Linked DNA regions of Diceros bicornis minor. The protein of the gene in region 1 interacts with the protein of each later gene in a pairwise test. Links are inferred from orthologs where the notes say so. Each region holds a gene or a part of one and is shown on either strand. Other genes may lie near its edges.

Region 1 (7,413 bases):
CTCACCTTATTCGACCCATCAGTAGCGTTGACACAGCTGATTACTCTCTGCTTCTCAAAACAGTCTCCTCCACTTGGCTTCCAGGATGCTACAATCCCTCTCCCCTTCTCTCTCACTGGCTGCTGTTTCTCAGCCACCTTGGCCAGATCTTTTTCATTTTCTTTCTCTTCTGACCTCCAAATGTTGGAGCGCCCCATGTCTCAATCCTCAGACCTCTTCTCTTCTCTACTCACGGTCCCAGATTCTATATGCTGATGACCCACAGATTTCTCCCTCCTGAAGTCTAGATTCTCATGTCTAATTGCCTACTCAACTTTCCCACCTAGATGGTGGATAGGCATCCAAAATTTACTATATTCAAACCCAAATACTTGAGCTTTCCTCCCATACCTGCTCCTTCTGTAGGATTCCCATCTCACTAAATGGGATCTCCATTATTCAGCTGTTCAGACTAAAATCCAGAATTTCCTTTGACTCCTCTTTCTCTCACATCCCACAGTTGAATCATCAATAAGTCCTATCTGGTTTACTTTGAATATATGTCTAGATTTCATTTATAGCTATCATTGTAGTCCAAATTACCATCACCTCTCTCTTGCCCTATCTCAGTAGCCTCCTACCTAGTCTCTGTGCTTCCACTCTTGTCCTCTCCTCCACTTGGTAAACAGAATGATCTTTTAGGAGTTGAGGCCAGGTCATGTCCTTTCTCTGCAGAAATCCCTATAAATGTCTTCCCATTGGACCTAAACTGTAAGTCTGCTGGCTATCCCTCTGGCACCATCTCCTGCTACCCTCCTTCCTGCTCTTCTGCATCAGGCATGGTGGCGTTTTTGCTGTCCCTGGAGCATGCCACATTTACTCTACCTCAGGGCCTTTGCACTTGCTCTTCTCCGTACCTGAAAAGCTTTTTTTCCCCAAGATAGCTGCAGAGCTTGCTCCCTCACTTCATTCATATCTCTGCTCAAATGTCCCCTCATCAGGGACACTATCTCTGACCCAACCACCCTAAGAATGGCCCCACCCCTATCACTCCTGAGCTCCTATACCTACTTTATTTGCTTTCATAGCACTCTTTACTCTCAGATATTATAACATACAACTTGACATTGATGTTTATTATATATAAAAATATATATATAAAAGCTCATTTTCTGTCTTCCTCCCCATCTCAATCTCACCACTAGAACGAGAATTCTACATCCCAGCTTGTAGAATAGTGCCTGCCTCAACAGTTGTTGAACAAGTCACCATTCAAAGCTACTCAAATTTCATCAGTTCTCCCAAGTGTCACCTGTGCAGTCTGAGCCGAGGTTTTATAGTTTAGATACACTTCAAAACATCTGGTTTTGAAATAATAAACCTTAGTCATAATTCTGAGCAATATGCCCAATGAGTAGAACTCAGTTTCTTCTTAACAGAACTTCTTTCAGTACACTGGCTTCAGCATTCTCCTTCTAAATATCTCACTTCGTTCTCGCTCAATGGATGTTAACTTTGTCCTGCTATATTTTATTCAAGGTGCCACATTTAAAATTCTGCCTACTGTTCTGCCCAAGAAAAACCATTATATCTTCTCAACATCATCAGATCCTATAAGAGGAGGCTGGAGAGCCAGAAAATCAAAACCTTGAGAACTGCTCACTTCTTTCTTCTGTCTTCCTTTGCTCATATTTTTGTTTCCCAGATATTTTAATTTTCTTATTTTATTTTATAAAATCAAGGAGATTTATAGAAATAAAGTTTACTGACTTCAGTGCTATGGTACAGTTATTGTCCCTGGAAATCACATCCTGCTTAGAAATGTATCCCAGATGAAGCCCATATTCTGGATCAGTGCACATGTAATTATGTAGGTAAAAAAAAGTATATCAGAAAAGGTTGAATGGTGCAGGCATGGGAAATAAATTGACCTCTACTCAGGTTACCGCCATGAATATACAGAGGGAAGGACCTGCATCTGTTTCACATTGTAACTGCCGAAGGGCCCAGAACAGCACCACAAACCCAGGGAACGGCCAGGAATCATTCACAACGAGGGTGGTGGCCATCCACAGCCTCACCTCTGCGGTAGTGCAGTTAGAACAGTGGCCAGTACCTGACTTACCATGCTATTTTCATACAATTCTGAGTATGTTTCCCAGGCTTTAATTCAAATAACCCACTTCTACCTACTGAAAATGAAATAAGTAACTCCCTACTAGACTTCAAGCTCCTTGAAGGCAAAGATTTTGTTTTATTCACAGCCATAAAGGCACATGGTTGCATACTGGACATGGCCTTAGAGGTCCGCTCGTTCTAATTCAACCTCCTTGAATGACTAGATAATACAACCAATCACAGTTGCATTAGATTTTTTTCATCTCTAATTGCTGTTCCATCTCATACTTGAGAATTTCAAACTAAAAAAGCTCCAGTCTGTCTTTGGCAAGTAGAAAGACTAACTGAAATGACCTAATAGCCTTTGTTACATCCATCTGGGACCAGAAGTAGGGGGAGATCAGCTTGCAGCAGCATCCCCTGCTCTTTGCTGTGCCCAACTCCGCCTCAGCTTGGCAGCCATGGCCTGCTTGAAAAGAAATGAATTTACACGACCCTCACAGGGATCTCCTCAAGCCTGGCTCTTGAGAGAAAAACATTTATTGGTGCTATTAAGACGCATAAAGTTATCGCATTGACACTCACGCTTACAAGATTAAGGAATGCGGAAACATCACCATCCATAAGACGATAAGAAATAGCCCTGCCAGGGCAGACCAGGGATCAGTATCCTCTGTCATTGCCAGGGGGCCAGGCAGGGACCTCAGAAGCAGGCTGTTTTGTCAAAAAGGGCACCAGACCCAAAGTCAGAAGAGCAAGGACTGTTCCTATCTCTGAGACTTCTCATCTGAAAACCGGAGAGGCTAGCAAAGAAAAACTCCCAGTGTGGTTCTAGACCTACACATCGACGCACTGCAATGCTGTTAGGAAAGTCACTCGACCCCTTCAGCTTCCTTTCTGCCATCTCTTAGCTTTCCACACAGACATTCAAAATGGGGCCTTTTAAAACTCTGCCCTGGAACGAAGGTGGTTCAGAGCAACACTTTGGCTGATATCACAAGACTCCCAGGGCAACGCTTCACTGCTTTCTCAGCATATGCCAGTGCCCATTTTGCAGGGGGATTTATGATCCTTCTCTCAGTAGAGCGAGCCAAAGTTTTATAATATTCATTAAAAATCAGCACCACATGTAATAATATGGAATACTGCCTGTACACAAGGGGGCCAAGTTATAGGTGTTCAGGGAGACATGGCAGAATTTCCTGGCCTTGGCGGGGGTAAAGTTGCAGGCACCAGCACTACACTAACACAACCTTCTTTTATTGCAAATGTTCGTTCAGTCTAAGTCCTAATTCCTTTCTTTAAAATCCTAACCACCATCGAGATCTTTTCTGACAGGGCAGCCACAGGATGGCTTTAAAGGCAGCAGCAACACCCTGGCCGCCTCCAGAGGGAGAGGCTGGAACCCAGTAGGAGCGGGGCTGAACCTGGGAGGTAGGCTTTTCATGTACGTTTCACAATTACTCGAGTCACTTCTAAAACCCTGGCGTGAGGGCTCAGAGGCTCTCTCGGCGGGACAGGCCGAGGACAGGCCGGGAAAGGATTCAAACACCAACACTGGTATTGGGTGGGGAGCTACTCTTCCTTGCCCCACCCCCACCCAAGACGGGCCACGGTCAGCTTTGCGGCGGCCCAAGGAGCATCTTTTCCTGCTCCTCCTGGGAAACGCTAGACAACCCAGGAATCCCAGGCTTCGAAGTCCTGCTCCCCTTCCTGGACGTAGTGCCCTGGGCTCTGCCCCGTTCCCCACGTGCCACACCAGCTCTCACCACTCCCCCCCGCCCCACTAGCCCCCAGCCCTCGTCTTTCAAGGCCCCTGCGAGACCCGTGCAAGGCCGGCCCCCGCCAGGCTGTGAGCGCGGCCCGGAGCAGGCTGCCCTCCCAGCCGCGCGGCCGCACAAAGCGGGCAGAGCGGCGGCGGCGGCGGCGTGAGGCGCGCCCCCTCCCGCGAGTCGGCGGAGCGCGCGCCCGCCCCCCGCCCCAGCGCCCGGCGCGCCATTCGCGGAGCGGCTTACGCTAGTCGCCGGGCGTACGGCGCCCCAGCGGCCGGGGAGGTGCGCTGCCCGGCTCCCGTAAAGTTATTGTGAATGGGGAGTGGGTGACGTCAGCGCCGAATGTCAACAATGTAGCGATTGAGAGTGTGGGCGTTCCGGGGAGAGCGCGAGCCGCGCGGCGAGGAGCAACCAGCGCCGAGCAGCCGCCGCCTCAGCAGCAGCAGCAGCAGCAGCAGCGACCGTGCACGCCGGGGCTGCGCTCGCCGCCGCCCTCGCCACCCCGCCTGCCCACTCCCGCCGCCGCCGCCGGGCTCTCGCTTTCTCCTCGGCCTGCCCTCGACCCGTCCCCTCCCCCTCCTCGGCACACTCAGGGGGCTGGGAACCGGCTGCCATGTGATGCGCGTCCTCTCCGCGAGCTTTCGGTGACCCCCGAACCGCCCACCGCGCCGGCTGCCGGGAGGGGCTGCGGGCTGGGAAGACGCGGGGAAGAGGAGGCGGAAAAGGACGCAAACTTCTCGGCGAGGTGAGTCCCCGGCCCCGGGCCCCGGCGCCGGGCGGGGCGGCGGGGCAAGTTTGCGGGGGGCGCGGGGCAGGCGGGGAGGCGTGGGGAAGCGGAGCGGCAAGGGAGCCGCGGCTGCCCGGTGCGCAGCCGCCAGCCGAGCGCCCTGGCCGCTGTTATGGCATTTTCTAGGAACGGGAAGGGGGTGGGAGCCGAGCCGGCCGACGCGCCGCGGCGAATGTGCGCTCTCTCGCCTGGCTGTTTACAGCGGCGAGGCGGCAGTGTATTTTGCTCGCGTCGACGGGTGTTTTGGAACAGCAGGGGGAGGAGGAGCAGAGGGTAATAAGTCAGGCGTGGGGAGGGCGGGCTGGAGGGAGGCGCGTGTCCGCGCGAGCCGGCGCAGCTGTCAGACCCACGGCCCTGCTCCCGGACCCGCGAGACCCGGGCGCCCCGGTCCCCGCGATCCCCGCGCCAGGCCGGGCGGCCTCCTCCCTGCCCGCGGCGTCCGCGCCCGGGGCTGCTCCACTAGGGCCGCGGCCGCCGCGCCTTTGCGCTCAGCTGTCAGTCGCCGCCGGGTAGCCGGGACCACCGCTACTGGCGGGGCATCAGAGCCCAAGTTCAGGGTCCCAGGAAGAGGCAGGCTGGGGGCCTCGCAGCGCGGACCTCGGGTTGCGCGCTGGGTGGAATCCCCACTAGCCAATGACCGAGTTATCGGAATGCGTCCCTGGGAGCTCAAACCGAAGGACTCACGCGTTCAGAGAGGGAAACCTTGCACTTCCCTCCCCACAGGAGTCTGCATGAAATCAAAGTGCAATACACACATATGCACACACCCTGTTTTCCCTCCCCACACTTCAGTCTCCAAGCCCCAGAAGCTCCACTTTCGGGGGGAGTTTATCCAGGCGACACCTCCACCTCTCCACTTCCCCATGCCGAGGCGCCCTGTGAGTCTCGCAGTTCTCTCGCCCGTGGGTACTCAGGAGCCCAGCGCCGATGGAGAGGGCGGCGGGCGGCGCTCATGGACTACCCCAGCTGCCCGCGAGAGGGGACTCGAGTGAGCATCTCGGCGACCTCGGTCTGGCCGACGATTTGCAGAAACTCGGACCGTGGAAGGAACGGGGAGGGCCGGGTGTATGTGTGTGAAAGGGACCGGGCAACCCTGGATTCGGGGGTCATGGGCGCTCGGGGTATCCCCAGCGCCCTCTCGAGTGTAGGCGAGTTTGACAACTTGGGGGAAGTTCCGGCGCAGCCGCTGTCCTGATGGTTTTGTCTGTGGCCCGAGAAGGTGCGCCTCACAGCTCGCCCGCCGGGTCACCGCGGTCGCCGCGATCCGTGGCCCCTGGGAAACGAGAGGGATGAGGGCGCCCCACCCCCGACGGAGCCGCAGACTCCCGGCGCGGGTGGCGAGACGCGGCGTTCCTCGGTTTTCACCTTCGCCGTCTAGTGCTGCAGTCTCTCACTCTGTGTAGATTTCATCTGTTGAGTGTATTTAACTAAAAAGGGTAATTACTTTAGATAAAAATCCTTTCCTGCCTAGTGGGAACCTTGGCGGAGATAATGCCTAATGAGATATTTTGCTTTTGTCTGTTTAGAGTAAAATTAGAGATGTTAACTCTGATAACGGTTTTCTCAGATCATTAAAATGTAACATGTAGGAAAGGCATGTCGAGCTGCGAAGGCTCTGGCTGACATGAAAGAAGCTGAGCGTGAAAGGCTGCCACTCTTTCGGTGGAAAGGGCTATTTTGGTAAGGCAGCCGGCGTCTCGCTTAAAATGCGAGATTGCCCCACCCTGTAGCCCCCTCCAGCAGCTCTCGAGTAAACGGCATTTTTCATTCTTGCAGGTAATAATAAAAGTGAGTCAAAATGACATCTTGTTAGAATTAGTCTTTAGTCTGTAAGAGCGATCGCTAAATTACAGCGTTGCATTCAAACTGCTGCAGTGAAAGGTCTGTCAGCATTTCCATTATAAAATCAGTTTTTCAGGAGTTTATCATTTCACCGCAAAACTTTGAGTGGCTGAAATGTTTTTCCCTTCTAGTATTCTGGTTTAAAAAAAATGCATCGATTGCCCACTTCCATCCTATTTGCTGTACCTGAAACCTGAATATCATTCAAATGAGGGTCCCAGAAATGGAATACACCAACCATGGAATAAAGTACTTTTGTTAGAGCATACGTTATTTGTGCAGAGCAATATTTTCATTTCGGATTTTGAAAGGCTTTAGCTTTGCCATTTGGAAATCGTAAATGTGTTGAGTTAATTCTTCTGGTGTATGTCGATTCTGCAGGTGGATTGAAATGTCAATTCGTATTGTATATGCCAGGATTATATGTATGGAAAAACATTCTCCTCATGTGAGTGTATGTCTGAACTCTTAGCTAAATTATGAAGGCACATGTTAGTTACTTGTCAGTTCTTTGTATGTTCCATGTGAGGATCTGCCATAGAGAAGAAGGAATAAGGCGAAAGAGAAGGAGGGAATCAGGACCCCCCTAATTCACTTTTCAGTATTACTAGTGCCTGGGAGGAAGCCATTTATTCTCTATTGAATTATGCCTTCGACTCAGTGTCTTCAGGCAAGTCCCTTCCAGTTGCTCACCTCTGGCTGCTGTGCGAGGGGCTTAATTGTTTGCAAACTGCCTTGAAGTCCCTGGATGAAAGGCACTGCAAGAGTGCAAAGTATTGTTATTCAGATATGGAATTTAATGATCCATTACAGTTCCTCAGGAAAATGTACTCTGCAGTGATGGTAGGAAACGTTTCCACCTGATCAAGGGTAATAATAACTGCTTAAAAGTAGGTTCAGGTTACAGATGAGACA
Region 2 (7,898 bases), on another chromosome or scaffold:
ACTACAGTCTCACCTCGTGGAGTTTGTCGGCCTTCTGGGTCTGCTTCTTCCGACTTCTCTGAGCAGCAACTCGGTTTTTTTCTCTCCTTCGGACCTTCCTGTCATCATCCTCAGGGCTCTGGGGGAAAGTGTTTGGTCAGGTGTGACGCTGAGGACCCTCGCCTCACCCTTCTCTGCCCTCTCTTCACTCAGCGTTGCTCATCGAGCTTCACCATCTTATTTGCAGTCACAGGTGCTCGTTGCTACACCAGTAGGAGAACAGGAGCCCCTTGTTATGGAGCATTCACCATGTGCCATGGCTGTGCTCAGCTGTTAATCCCCATGACCACCTTGAGAGTGTGTGGTGTGACCGCCATTTAAAAGATGAGGAATAAGAAACTCAGAGACGTTAGGAACTTACTCCAGGTATCACAGCTAGTAAGTGGGTGAATGGGAAGTGGAACTCAGGTCTGTTGGACTCCAAACCAACGTTCATAAACCTCTACCCCACAGGGCGTGAGCCTGGAAGAGTTGTGGTGTCAACGTTGTTCATCTGAGAAGGGGAAAGGCAGAAGGCATCTGCGATGTGGAACTTGTTATGTGCCAGGCCTTCTATTACCATACACAAACAGGTACTCTTGATATGGTGTGCAAATCGTGATGACACACAACTAATTGCAACCCCATCACTCTATCAACACCTCAAATGATCTGAAACACTACAGGCAATATGCTCATTTGAACAACGCTTGACTAACATTTTCTTTCACAGGTCAGAGCAAATCAGAAAGCACATTTATGATGTGTCTTGAAAGTTCTTGGCTATATAAGAGATTTAACCAAACCTAGTCAAATCCTTCAAGAGTTATCCTGAAACAGGCCGGCAGAAAAATGCACCTACCATGGTAAAAACACTCCATTCAGTTATAGAAAACATGGAGAAGTAAAGCAGTATTTGCTTCCAGAACCCTGTGAGAAGATACTAAGGAGTGGGGGGTAGAAATACTACCTTTAAAGAGTTTAAAAGCCCAGAGGTTAGTGGGATACAAACACAGGAAAGCCACTCAATTATTAATATTAATGGAAAGCAAATCAGATAACATAAAACAATGGATATTTTCAGTTATCATTTTATCTAGTCTCATATTCCAAACAAGAGGGACAAATATCATCTCCCCGAGTTACAGCCCGGTAAAGAATTTTCAGCATATCCAAGAATATAAAGCGATAAAAGGAGAATGAATACCATATACAGAAATAATATAACACATAGAAGAGGCCTGGAGACAGTGTTCAAGGAAACAGACAAGGTGTTAAAACATAGTCTTTTAGAGGCAAAGAGGTCTTGGTAAACACAACCAGAAGAAGACCACAGAGGGGAAATGTGGTGTCGAGGACAGAACTTTAGTGTAGAAATGCATGCTTCTGGTTTTGTCTCTTACTGTCAACTTGGCCTTGGGGACATGGCTTAAATTCTCTGAATTTTCAGTTTTCTCATTTATTGTGTGATTCATTCATTCTTTCAATAAGTATTAACTGAGTTCCTGCCATGTGCCAGGGGACTGTCCTGGGCACGGGAGATCCACGCCCTGAACAAACAGTCAGTAATCTCTGCAGCCATCATTCTAAAAGCCTAATGCTTGGGGCTGGCAGAAGAGAAAAGGCGAATTCATCCTAGCTCCTAGCACCCTGTGTGCCCTCAATAACGTCTGTTGAGGTTGCTGCTACTTTTTAACCAGTCCCCCACAGTGCCTGTCACCAAATCATGCCTCTCTGTTCATAATCAGAAAGTCACAGGGCACAACGAAGCAGGCTGCATGCTGCCCTCTGGGAGCTGACGCTAAACTGGATTGATCACCTATCACATGGTCCCCCCGACAGCCCAGCAGAAACGTTTAATCAAGACAGGAAGTGGGGATTAACATATTATTAACCATATCTCAATTAGTTCTCATAAAAATCATGAGAGGTTGAGATTATTATATGCATTTTACAGGTAGGGAAACTGAGGCTTGGAGAAGTTAAGCAAGTTGCCTAAGGCTACTCAGTCTGTGTGTGGCAAATTCGAGGCCCAAACTCCGATCCGTGTGACTCTCTAGCGTCACCCGATGACACTACGGGCCAGGCACCGAACTGGGAAGAGGGGCATAACGACGAAAAGACTCAGTCCTGAAGAACCTGAGCGGGAAGTTCTCGGACGGCCGTTCCTGCGGGCAACATTGTCTCAGAGTACGCAGTTGGAAATGTTGCCGGGACAGCGCGGGACTGGATGCGGGCGAGGGGTTTCCACCAGCGGAGGGGTGGAATCTGCCAACTGCGGGCCCCCACCCCGCACCCCCAGGCTGATCGCTCCCGAGTTCCCCATTCGGCCGGCAGTCGGAGGAGGGTAGATGTCGGGAGCGCCTGGGCACCAGCCGCTCCTTCGGGCTGAATTTCCCCTCTCCGCGCCCTGGCCCCCCCGCCTCGGAGCGGCCGGAAGGGCCACGCGCGCCGACGGTGGGATGGCAGCAGGCGGCGGCGCAAGGATGGCGAGACACCCGGGGCAACGCGGACAACACGTGCCGGGGAGCGTGGACCGGGCCCGGCCCCGCCAGGCGTCGGCGCCCTCCGGTCTCTCCTCGTCCCCGGGCGCAGGAGCTGGTTCACCATCCCGGACGCCGCGGGCACTGTGCGTGCGCCCGGGTCGGACCGGCAGAGACGCACGCCCGGGCTCCTGGACCGCCTTCGGGCCCCCACTCCCTCTGGTCTCTGGCTCCCGCAGCGCCCTCCACCCCGGCACTCAGCAATCACCACCCGGGAACCCAGCGCCCAGCTCCTCGCGCCCCCCGGCACCCCCACCCTCTCATCCCTGCGGTCCTCCTGGGGCTTCTAGTTCACTACCTGCGGCTGCGGCTGGTTCCCGGGTGCCGCGACGCTCCTCTGCAGGACGCTGCCGGCGGCCGGGGGCCCTTGCGACATGCCGGGCGCTCCTCCGGCCCGGCCCGCCCCGCCGCGCAGCCTCGCGGAGGAGCGGCCGCGCGGCCCGCCGCGCCCTGCACGCGGGGCGCTGCCTACCGGCGCTCGCCCGCCACCCGCATCCTCGCGCCCCCGCACCTGCTGGCCGCCGGCCCTCCGCCCCGCCCCCGGGCTTCCCGCTCTCCCGGCTCGCGCGGCCGCTGCGCGTCGCCCGGGTTTCCCCACCCCCCGGTCCCGGCCCGCCGTCCTTCCCGTCCCCAAGTCTGCCCCGCCCCCTCCTTCTCCCACCTCCGCCTCATTTCCTCCTCTCCCCGCCCTTTCGCCGCACTTCGGGGTCCCAAATCCCACCCCTGTCGCGGCTTTCCGCTGGGGCCCCTCTCTTCGTGGAAGTCACGTGGTGGCTCCGAAACCCTGGAGGCAACGTGAAGCCCACCCACAAGAGGCGACGCTGGGGCGGGCGCAGGTCCGGGAGGCGCGGCGCAACTTTTGGGGTCTTTCAGCCGCTCTCGGAGAACTCAGCTTGAGAAACACAAGTGGGTGGTTTGGGGTTGGTGGTTTTTCCCCCGGTCCCATCACGGCATCTTCCTGAGCATCAGCCCCGCCTCCCCCCAGCGCAGGGGTCACAGTTTCGGGGGACTTTCTCCGCGCGGATCAGTCATCCCGGCGCCACTCTCACTCCTTCCGAGGCCCTCGGTCTTCCCGCCCGGGAGGCTCAGGCCAGGGCAGGGGGCAGCCGGCTTTACCGAGTCCCACTGCGCACCCTGAGAGCCACGGGCGCCCCGGGGCCTTTCTGCGGGGAGCACCTGCTCTGCCTTCACCAGTCCCGCGGGGCTGTGGGAGGGAGCAAGGTGGGAGCACCCTGGGGCCCCCAGGGTGAATTCCCTCGGTGGAGGGTGGGGAGGAGGAGGTTGTCCGGGAGAGAAACAGTGACCGGGCTTCCCTGAGAGCGAATCTGCCACGGTGCAAGTCACTATTGACGGGTTCGGGAATCTGGACTCGCCATGCTAATGTTAAAGGGGCCAGATCCTTTCTGTTTTTCAAGATTCAAGTGGCAGATGCGTGACTTCACGCCAAACTGGGGACGGGTTGAAGGGACTGCGCTTTCCTGTCCACCTACCTGTCAGTTACAAGATGCAAAGTCAAGCAGTATTGTTACGTGGTCCCAGCAAAGAAGCAACGAGCGGTTACGGGTTTGTGGTCTGCATACTGTGAACACGGGCAAAGAAAGATAACCGCGAACCTGGGTGGGAGGGTGAGAACCAAGACCAGGAGATCAGACGTGCCTTTCGAGTGCGGTCGCTTAAGACTTCAGGCTCGCGGGCAGCAGCGGGGATGCGGCTCGGGCACTTCGGACTCCCAGTCTAGTGCACGTGGCTCTCTGCCAAGATTTAAGACCCTAGCAAAACCTTTGAAAAGCAGCTTGCGTGAACTTGGCTGCCGGGCAGAGGGCAGGAAAGCAAGTGGAGATTCTTGTCTGTGTGAGCAGGGGCTTCAGCCAGACAACCGAGAGGAGAGTGCAGGTTCTAGGCAGCCGGAGGACAGAGGGTGGGCGCAGCACTTTAAGCGACAGTGCCGTACCCCACGCCGCCAACGCTGCACAGCGGAGCTATCTCTACACTCGGTTATCTGCCTAGATTTCTCTTCTCATCTCTCTTGTCCTTTTCATCACTCAACATAACTCTTGGTTGCCCGCGGGGCCACGCAGGCACCCCTATGTGCCCAGCACAGCGCTCCACACACAAGTGCTCAGTAAATTTATTGCAGCAGGTCGACTGATAGCCCTCATTCTTGGAAACTTAACAGGACTCTTAACAAGATAGAGAGACCTCTGGGTCAGGTAGTCTTGAATTTTCAGAAGTGCTTTCCCTCTGCAATGTTGTTTATGAGTGGAAAGGGCAAGGTAAAAACACAGCGGACATTTAGGTGCACTCCCACACCGCATTTTGGTTATTGCTACTTTCCTGTTCTCACTGAGCCACACCGCATTCCAAGTCCTCTGGGGCTGTACCTTCCACCTCACTCCTCAGGGAGCCTGAACCCTCGCCCCAACACACAAGAACTCTTCATATAGGCATTGGCCTACTGTCTTAGTTATTCAAGGGTTTCTTCAAATATATTTAAAGGAAGAGCCTTGGTTAGCTAGTTACCATTTAAGGAACAGATCAGTTTGACCTACATAGCATACATCAAAGTGAATGGATTAAATAATTAGACATAGAAAATAAAATTAGGGAGATAAAGCAGAATTAAATCCTTTATTCAAGCCCGGGGATAAGACAAAATGGATAGAATTTTCTAAGATGGCATGTCATAGAAGAAATCACATTGGAAAGATCTGAATTTAAAAAGAATCTTAAATTGTTTTAGATGACAGTATGACCAGAAATTAAAAATGTATAGATTGGGAAAAATATTCACAGTAAATACGACAAAGAGTTAAAATCTCTATTATATATAAGCCCATGAAAAGGAATAAGAAAAATATTGAGACAATCTCCCAAAGGTAAACTGAACAAGTGACATGAACTGGCATTTCCCAACAGAGGAAATAATCAAGGAAAATAAATAGAGGAAAAATACATATTAAAATAAGAAACGTTTTAAAATATTAAATTAGCAAAATAAAAAGTTGTATCAAATGCTGGTGAGAGTATGGTGAAATTAATACTCTCATATTTCACTGGCATCATTGTAAGTTGGTACAAACCTAATGGAAAGCAATTTTATTGTAACTTTCAAGAACCATGCAAGACTAATCACGTTTTACTGAGTTTTCCCTAGAAAACTTCCAGAAAGTCATCCTAGGAAGATCATTGAAAATACTAAAGAGAAAAAAATACTGTATGCATTAAAAGTTCATAATAATATTTTTGAGTGAAAAATTTTAAGCAACATAAATTTCCAATTATAGGTGAATGGCTAAATAAAATATGTTATAGCCATGGGGTAGAATATTATGAATCTTTAAAATTATATGGCAGACAAATTTGCCACATGGAAGATTTATTTAATATGAAGCAAAGTGAGAAAAAAATCAGGATACAAAAAGTACAAGTATAACATGTATAAAAATTTGTGCATAACATTACTGTACTGCACACTTAAAAATGGTTAAGATGGTAAATTTTATGTTGTGTTTTTTATACCACAATGAAAAAGTGTGTGCATATGAGAAAAAATTGGAAAAGAATCCACAAAAGGGCTAGCTTCTTTGTCTTGGTGGTGGGATTATAAGTAATTACTTTTGCTTGTCTTTTTAAACTTTTTGAAAAATTGTTTTATAATGTTAAAACATTTTATATTTACAAGTGATATTGCCTTCCCTGGCACTGAGCTCGTTTGTCACACCAGAATGCCAGCACCTCTCTGACCAAGTAGGATGCTCTAATAACAGCCTGTTTTCTACTTTTTTGTAATATTTGCTGGCTCATTTTATTCTCCTTAAGTCAAAGGAGGAAGAAAAATGAAAATGAAGAAAAGATAAGCAAGAACAAACATTCCAAATGTCTTCTTTTCTTCTTCTACTTATCTTTTTATTTGTATTTTTTTCCTTTGAACTGGGAAGAGAAATTATATTAGAGGATTTGGCAATTTCCTATTACTACCGCAATGACCCTGGATTACATCTTTGGAGGCAGGGAGAGGAGGTGTAGGAGGTTTATAGCTCAGTGATCAAATCCTCTGATGATTCACTTCACAAGAAGACGGTTATTTATAAAAACGTGTTGCTCAAATGCTAGAAACCTTGCCGCTATTTCACCTTTATTTTTTTCTTTTAGGGAAACTGGCCTTCCAGGAAGGGCACTTATACTGCTCTTTCTCAGGAGGTGGTCCTGTGGGCTTCTGCTGGGGCTAGAGAAAGGAAAGTTTAAGGCAGAGACCCCTGCGTTTGCTACAGTCTGGCATTGTCTCAGGCACTGTTCTAGGCACTGGGATGCTGCAGATCCGCACCTCCTGGAGCTCACATTCTAGAGGAGGGAGACAGACGATAGGCAAAAGTATTTAGATGATGATATGGAGAAATATAAAGCAGGGGCGAGAAATAGAGAGTAGTAGAGGGGAAAGCAGAGTGCAATTTTAAATAGGGAGGTCAAGCAAGCTTTACCTGAAGGAGGTGAGAGAGGGAGTCATGTGAACAGTCCAGGAGCAATGGTCCAGGCTGCAAGAACAGCAAATGCAAGAGCCCCAGGGGAGTGTGCCTAGCCACTCCAAAAACTGCAGGAGACTCATATGGCTGGAGCGGAGTGAAGAAGGGCTGGATACCTAGAGGTGAGATCAGAAGGCAAAGGGCCAGGTCCTGCAGAGCCATCTGAACTATTATTGGCTTTTACTCAAAGTGAGATGGGAGAACATTGCAGGCTTTTGAGCAGAGGTGTGACGTGACCTGACTTAAGTTTTTACAGGATCACTTTGGGCACTGTGTAAAGGACAGACTGAAAGGGTGAGGAAGAAACAGGAGTGAGGGTTTGGAAGATGTTGACAGCGATAGAGGCTGAGGCAAATTTGCCAGGAAGTCAATGATCAGAAGCCTCGAGGCCCCTCACTTGCACCGACCCCTTCCAAGGCCTAGAGGGGCCCTAGCAAAGAGTTCACGTGGTGATAGGTTGTAATAAAATTTGCAAAAGTGGGATATTTTAAGCGTAAATGGTTAAGACCACTGTCTCTTTTCACCGCGACTTCCCCCCAGTCCCTTCATGTCTGGTGATGTTGAAGTGGCTGTGGGCATTTGGGGGACCTTGGGAAGGAAGGTTTGTTCAGAGATATATTATATATTGGGATATATGTATGTGGTTTGTAATCATTTCTGTCTAGAGTCATATTACTGCTAGTTATATGGCTTCCAGGAATATTCCTACTGTCCACTGTGCTAACTCACCTGACAAGGTACATTGTACTGAGACATGAACATTCCTACACTGCCAGCCACCAAATCTATGTGGGTGGCAGAAGAGAAGCAATGTTTG

What was found. The genes of interacting proteins can lie anywhere in the genome.
Region 2: the proteins of BACH2 (region 1) and BATF3 interact in binary tests that used the Homo sapiens proteins (3 or more experiments, as listed by UniProt). The link is inferred for Diceros bicornis minor from reciprocal best matches to the Homo sapiens genes BACH2 and BATF3.

Annotation. Positions count from the first base shown.
Region 1 is NC_080762.1:42,621,020-42,628,432, forward strand, and holds the start of BACH2 (transcription regulator protein BACH2), read left to right. Parts: upstream 1-4,395; 5' UTR 4,396-4,614; intron 4,615-7,413. UniProt on the Homo sapiens protein: Transcriptional regulator that acts as a repressor or activator. Binds to Maf recognition elements (MARE). Plays an important role in coordinating transcription activation and repression by MAFK.
Region 2 is NC_080743.1:78,305,305-78,313,202, forward strand, and holds the start of BATF3 (basic leucine zipper transcriptional factor ATF-like 3), read right to left. Parts: upstream 3,008-7,898; 5' UTR 2,938-3,007; coding exon 2,860-2,937; intron 2,281-2,859; exon of another isoform or gene 476-2,280; coding exon of another isoform or gene 401-475; intron 119-400; coding exon 14-118; intron 1-13. UniProt on the Homo sapiens protein: AP-1 family transcription factor that controls the differentiation of CD8(+) thymic conventional dendritic cells in the immune system.